Callithrix jacchus: one gene and its partner. The protein of the gene in region 2 purifies or fractionates together with the protein of the main gene of each other region. This does not show direct contact. Links are inferred from orthologs where the notes say so. Each region holds a gene or a part of one and is shown on either strand. Other genes may lie near its edges.

The links. Proteins that work in one complex are often made in the same cells at the same time.
Region 1: the proteins of CDK13 (region 2) and CCNK purify together in Homo sapiens (affinity purification with mass spectrometry; 4 studies listed by BioGRID and IntAct, counting the BioPlex papers as one, with this or other methods). This does not show direct contact. The link is inferred for Callithrix jacchus from reciprocal best matches to the Homo sapiens genes CDK13 and CCNK.

Annotation. Positions count from the first base shown.
Region 1 is NC_133509.1:134,366,497-134,370,793, reverse strand, and holds the start of CCNK (cyclin-K), read right to left. Parts: upstream 2,801-4,297; 5' UTR 2,730-2,800; intron 1-2,729. Other genes in the region: SETD3 (actin-histidine N-methyltransferase), read left to right, coding at 2,868-2,947. UniProt on the Homo sapiens protein: Regulatory subunit of cyclin-dependent kinases that mediates activation of target kinases.
Region 2 is NC_133512.1:8,406,940-8,409,922, forward strand, and holds the end of CDK13 (cyclin-dependent kinase 13), read left to right. Parts: coding exon 1-329; 3' UTR 330-2,483; downstream 2,484-2,983. UniProt on the Homo sapiens protein: Cyclin-dependent kinase which displays CTD kinase activity and is required for RNA splicing.

The DNA of each region.
Region 1 (4,297 bases), on a different chromosome or scaffold from region 2:
ATTAACTTGAGAAGCATGCTTCTTACATATTTAAAGTTGGTAGTAGAAAAGTGCTAACCAGGGTCAGGGCAAGACCAGAATCCTGTAGTATATCTCCAAAGACATCTCCCCGGACTTACATCAACCCATTAATCAACATTTTGGGTCTGGTAATTTGAATGGATATAATAAATCCATTTACATCTAATCCAATGCACATTTAGCTCTGTCTAGACACAGAATTATGTTCAGTGTCCTAAATAAACTTAAATGAACTTATGTCCAGCAATCCCCAATCACCACCAGTCTAGTAAACCGTAACAAAAGGAAACAGAATTGTGTCACCTGGCTTTTTTTTTTTTTTTTTTTTTGAGACAGGGTCTTGCTCTGTCACCCAGGCTGGAGGGCAGTGACACGATCACAGCTCAGTGCAGCTTTGATCTCTCACAGACTCAAGTGATTCCTGCCTCGGTCTCCTGAGTAGCTACTACAGGCATGCATCACCACATCTGGCTAATTTTTTGTTTTTTTTGGTAGTGATGAGGGCTCACTATGTTGCCCGGCATCATCTTGAACTCCTGAGCTTGAGTGATCCTCCAGCTCTGGCCTCCCAGAGTGCTGGTATAATAAGCATGAGCCACTAACTCTGGCCTCACCTGTCCTTTTCTTATTGAAACTTTCTGCTGGCTTGAGGGAATCAGCTTTCCTTTCCCAAGTTCTTATACACGTGTTGGCTCTTCCAACAAGATTCTAGAACAGATTATTAATAGGTTCCTAGCATCCAAGAGACATCTAATGGCTCTTGGTGAAAACTGAGACATTTATCAGACACTAGTCTTTTAACATTAACTGCATTTTTAGGATTTTTCAAAGTCTATCAATAATGATTTTACAATGTCATCTGCAATTACTCTGGTAAACAATTTGAGCTTAAAAATATGATCACTCTGTAATCTCAATTACCTTGAATTTAATTCCCTTAGATATTTTTTGTTCTTACCCAGTTTTAAACAAAATAAGCAGAAGACACTGTCCTCCCTTTTAGGCACTCAGCAGTCATTGCTTTAAAATATAATCTCCTGAAATGAACTAGCTCATTTAATAGGCCACAGACATGACCAATTTTTCTTTATGACATGCAATTTTAAAAACAGCATTTAAAATTTAAGAACCTCATTAACAACTCGAATAGTTTTTGTTCCTTGTTAGTACAAACTACAGTTTCAAAATGGAACAAATTTAAACAGAATTTGCCCAGAAATCAACTAATAAGCATGAATAATGCATGCATCACAATATAATCGAAATGAGATAAAAGGGGGAAAAAACCCTCAAAGACACCAGTGGTAGTCACTCTGAATAAAACGATCTTGGATAATTACTACATTCACCGTCAAGATTATTTAACAGGTAAGCATCCTAACGACACAACTTTAATCCAAATGTCTGTCAGTACTACTATCACTACTCTCATCCATCGGTTCTTTCACTGAGCAATACTGAGGGCTTAATAAACGTCAGGCAGTGTTCTGGGCGCTGAAAGCTCCTCGCTTTCATTCTAGCAACATCATTCATACAAGCCTTTAATGGGCACCTAAAATTGCAAGGCACTGTGCTAGCCATCTGAAAAGAGAGATTTAGATAGAGATACACAAACGTCACCAATTTTCCTTTAAAAATATAAAAGACTACCCTTAAGAAATGCTCTTATCCAGTCGTTCCTGGCCGAGCGCCGTGACTCACGCCTGTGATCCCAGCACTTTGGGAAGCCGAGGCAGGAGGATCAATTGAGGCCAGGAGTTCGAGACCAGCTTGGCCAATATGGTGACATCCCGTCTCTACTAAAAATAGAAAAAGTAGCCTGGCCGCGTGGTGGCGCACGCCTGAAATCCCAGCTACTCGGGAGGCTGAGGCTGGAGAATCGCTTGAACCCAAGAGGCAGATGTTTTAGTGAGCCAAGATCGCGCCACTGCACTCCAGCCTGGGCAACAGACAGACTCTGTCTCAAAAAAAAAAAAAGAAAAAGTCGTTCCTAACCTAAGATGACTTAGCGAAAGCTCCGTTTAACTGGCAATCTAAATTTAGGGAGCATTACCGAGACTATCTTTGGCAGACAATAGTTTGGGAGCTGTCAGATAACCTCTAGACTTACGGTCCAATTTTCTAAATAACAATTTCTCTCATAAAAAAACAAATTAACCACCAGAACCGGGTCCGTAAAGACGATGTCTCCACAAGAACGAAATCTAATCGCGGAAGTGCCTTTTCCTCATTCCTAGTCGCACCCTCGTTACGTGGCTCTTCAGACTCCAAAGTCCGAGTACCCTAGATATGGAACAATCTCCAAAAAGTCTCAGGCCTACCCAAGGTTGGGACTAATACGCCGCGAAATAACCGGGGAAATATGAGTACTCAGTAGCTATGAGATTGTGCGCGGGTGACACCCCTGTCCCTTTTGCCCAAGCCCTAGAAAGTCCAACTCTGACTGACCCCTACTGCGAGGGCCGCTACCAGTTCTAGGGTGCGCCCTGCTTCCCTGCCCCACCCCGGCGCCTCGGACCCTCTCTCCAAGCCGGTCCCGCAGCCCCGCGCCGCCCGCTAAGTTCAATGTGTACGAGAGGTTAGCGGAGAGAGGCGGAATCCGAAAAGAGAGACTCCGCCAGTGGATGGCGGCGGTTGGCCATAACCTACTCCGACCTCTGGATACGCGGGAGGTGGGCGGTGCTGCCCGCAGTCGGTGGGTCACTCACCCCTCTTTTCAGGCAAGCCCCTTAGCGACGTCTCTCCTTGCCGACCGCGGCCATTTTGCATGTGGAATGTCGGGGAATACGTCATCACGCTGCGTCTTGAGACAAAAACCAAGCGACCGGAGAGGCGGAGAGAGTAGGATGCCTGTCAACCAATGGGAAGAAAACAGAGCTCTCGAAAGCGGAACGGGCCGCCTTATTCTTTCTCGCCCGCCCCGCGGGTCAGTGGCGGCTGCGTGCAGGGGGAGGAGCCAGCCACAGGGCCCATCCCGTCGGTTCCGCCCCCCGGGGCGAAAAAGATTCTGGAGCAACCGAACCTGCTAACGGAACTCGGGAGCGTAGGCGGGGTCCGGGTCGCGCTTCGTCCAATCAGAGCTGGGGCGGGGGCGAACACAGCCAATTGCGACCTCGGGGTTGGCGGCGGCTGAGCCGTCCGCTCTCGCCCCCGGGAGCCGTCAGCCCACTGGCTGGAGAGGACCCCGAACGGAACGCCGGCTTGGCGGCGGGGCGGGGCCGCGCCCATGCGTCCGAGGCGCGGACCAATGAGCGGCTGCGGCGGCGGCCTGGGGGCGGGGTCTAGGGCGGGCGGAGCGGGGTTGGGCCGCGGCGGCAGGGCCGTCTCAGGCTGCCGTCCCGCCCCTCCTGTCCGGCCGCCGCCGTCGCCGCCGCCACCGCAGCCACTGCCACCGCCTGGGGGTTGGTTGAGGCGGACGGTGGTGTCCGGGCTGGAGTGCGTCGTTCCCGCTGCGCTAGGGGAAGCGGGCAGGTGAGTGCTGGCGGCGGTCTCTGCGCGCATGTGGCCCGGAGGCTGCGAGAGAAACTCGCGCTGCCTCTCCGAGCGTTACGAGGCCGCCCCCCGCCCTGGCTGGCGCCCCTCTGCCGAAGTCCGGCGCGCGCCCCCGCCCGGGTCCCTGCCGGCCGCTCCGGGCCCGGGGCTTGAAGGGGCGGGTGTGAGCCCCGGAGCTGGGGTAGGCAGGGCCCTGCGGGGTCGGAGGGCGCCGGTCGGCCTCTGCCCTGGCGCCCTGCGGGGCGGGAGGCGCGCGCTCGCTGCTGCCGGTCCCTTCTGGCGCCCACGCTCCCGGGCTCCGCGCCACCAGGTCCGGAGGTGGTGGCAGGTGCAGGGAGCGCTCTCCCTGCGCTTGCCCCACTGTCTCCGGCCCTCGCGCCCTCTCTCGGGTGGGGCCCGGGCCCCTGGCGCTGGTCTGCTCGGCTCTGCGTGCGGCCGGGTCGCGCTCTCATTTCCTTCCTTCCGTCACCCCGCTGCCCGGGGAAGGCTGTGCGGTTTTATGTTCCTTTCTGCGAGTCCTCGATGCCCACCGGGGTGCCCGAGGACCAGCCCCCGCCTCCCTTCCGCTCCGTCCAGTTAGAAAGACGGTCGTAGGAAATAGGTCGTCTTTCTTCCCACGCGACGCTGGCCGTGTTCCACACGCGCAGTGCCCTACTAGGGAGAGGCATTCCGTGCTTAGAGTTTGTCATTCCGCAGTTAAACTCTTCCTCCTCGTGGCTCCAGCCCGGCGATGCAACTCTGCCTTTCCCCTGTCTCCACTCGGGGAAAGGAGCTGACAGTGACG
Region 2 (2,983 bases):
TAGCTGGATATGGAGACATTTACCTCAATGCTGGTCCCATGTTGTTTAGTGGAGACAAGGACCATAGATTTGAATATAGCCATGGTCCTATTGCAGTCCTGGCAAACAGCAGTGACCCTTCCACGGGGCCAGAGAGTACTCACCCTTTGCCAGCAAAGATGCATAACTATAACTATGGTGGTAACTTACAGGAAAACCCAAGTGGTCCCAGCCTCATGCATGGACAGACCTGGACTTCTCCTGCCCAAGGACCTGGATATTCACAAGGATACAGGGGACATATTAGCACATCAACTGGCAGAGGTAGAGGCAGAGGGTTACCATACTGAGTATCTGTTTTTCCTCAGGCACATCATTTTTATCTGGAAAGACTTTTCTAGCTGCAATTTAAGGCAGCAATCCAAGAGACTTGAATAATATTAATTCAACAACAGCTTTATTTTTATGTGGAGAAGGGTCTTGCATACAATAGTTTAAAAAAGACAGAAAAAAAAAACCTTTGCTTAAATTCATGCTGTTCTGAAAACTAGATCTATCAATTGTACATCTTCACAAATTCTAGTTAACAGTTTTATTTTGTATTCTTGCAGTTTTAAGTGGATGCTAATTTTAGGGACATAGCCTTTTATGGCCCTCTTGCAGATCTTCTGATCTATGCACATTTGTGCTTTTTTTGTAAGTTTGGACCAACTTTTATGTAACAAACAGCCCCTCCCCACCTCCAGTTTTACAACAATCAGAAAGGGCACTGATTTATTTGGTATTTTTCTTTTTACAAAGCTACCTTTAGTCAAAGGTCACTGTCAGTCTTTGCACCTGCTTTCAGTGTTATTGTGAAAGGTGTACTTTGTGCTCATTTCAGAAAATAAAACACAACCTTTCTCTTGATGCAACAGTTTTATAAAAAAAATGGTAAATGTTATTTTTGTTTTGTTTTGCAGATTATCATAGCCTAGCAAAGTGCATTCAAATGAAATAGTGAGTTTTATATGAAAACTATGGGTGGGGTGGGGAGGGAAAGTAAGTGCCTTAACAGGTAAGGTCTGAAAAAAAGAGTTAACTTTTTATCCCCATTTGTCTTTTCAAAGGAATCAATGCATTGAAAAGGCAGGAAGCTCTCAAGTTTTCAGGGGCTGCCTGTTCAGTTCCTGTTAGGTCCATTCCCTCTGCCTGTCACACTCTCCTTTTCTGCCTGTCTTTGGGCTGTGTTCCCTTTCACTACCACCTTCTCTTGATAGGGGAGTGAGAGCAAAGAAAGGGAGAAGAACTGCAATCAGTACTTTTTGTTACTTCTGAGAAGTTCTAAAAAGTTTTGTCATTTAAATGGTTGAAAGTAATAGCTGAACGAGAATTTTAGAGTGCCATTTTCTTTCAGGCTGGCATATAGTCCCTGTTTCCATTTGCCATGGATAATTGGAGGCCATAGTATAGAAGCAAGAGTTCATAACAGAACTTACATAAATGTGTTAAAGTTCATGGGGGAGGGGTGGCAAATACCATATTTTAAGTTACGTAATTGCCATTTTAAGAAAGTCAGTTCTATTCACTTGTTAACTAGAAACGTTGCCTACATGGAATTTATTGAAGCAAAAAGAAAAGGCAATGAAAACTTTGATATTCCTTCCTGTCACCTTCCATAAAGTTGATCATGACTTCTGCCACTCAGAGCAACAACTTTAGTTCATTTTAACTTTTTCTTTTTTTATAAAGAGCATCAAAGAATGGAGTAAACTTATTTAAACTAATGGTGTGAAGTCTCACTGCGTGCACACTCATTCTCACACATACACACACAATTATAATAATTCTAGAAAGGAACCAAAGGTAAATAACCAGTGTTTCCATTATTACTAAATGGAAAAATTGACTGGAAGTTAGAGTTGTGCCAATTAATCATTTTGTTCATTAACTGTTCTGGCAACTTATTTTTTTTATTGGAATCTTAAATTGGGACAACTGTTACAGAATATGTATTGCTCCAGTTCTAAAGCCAGTTAACCCTGTGCCCTCTAACTTATGAACCTTCATTTCAAAACAATGTGGGAAGCATTGTAGTTTGATGACAGTAAGACTATTTTAAAGAGATAATTTACCATTTTACTACTATAAAATAAGTTGCTATCAGTTGACCATTTTATTTTTTGATGGACTCTTTTTTGTCACTGGGGAGAAAGAAATGAATGGAAGAAAAAAATATTTTGCTTTTATTTGAATATTGATTACTAACAACTTATAAACTACATTGCAGGAAGTGAAGAAATATTTTGAAATTAGCAAAATAGCAACAGTATTCAAGTATCTGAAATTTTAATATGGTGAGTCTTAGAGCTTTAGGCTTTCCTATAAGTGACAGTATCTAAGTTATTCTTAATAGTCACACTTGATAATTCTGCTTACCATAAGCAGCTAACCTACAATTGAAGATATTTATGTGACATGAATAGCCTGTGTTTCAAAAATTAAATATTTTATATAAAATTGAACTGTGTTTGGATAGTTTTTCTAATCAAACATTTCAGTGACATGTTGGGAGAGCGGCTGGGAGGACAGGGAAATTGTTGCTTTGAAATTGAAAATTTGAACTAGAACTTCTAATATTATCCTAAGACATCATTGCATGTGAGACATACCAGTCTTTTATGTATCCCTTAGAAGAAAAAATGTTGCCAATTAAGCCACAATACAGTACTAAGATGTCATCAGTTGTAAGCTACATCCCAGATTCAGACATGTTATATGAAAATATTTGTCTTATAACTGATGAAATATGATAGTCAAAACTCTTAATGCTTCCTTCCATAGTATTTAATACTTTAATTCAGTGAATTTGGATTGATAGGACAAGGTTGGGAAATCACTAGTACTATAGGTTGTAATAACAGCAGCCATTACTGAAAATTTGACTGAAATCTAAGGAACACATAATATTGTTTAAGTTTTTTTGAAAAAAGCAGGTAAGTCAGATTGCAAGTTAAGAAGATAA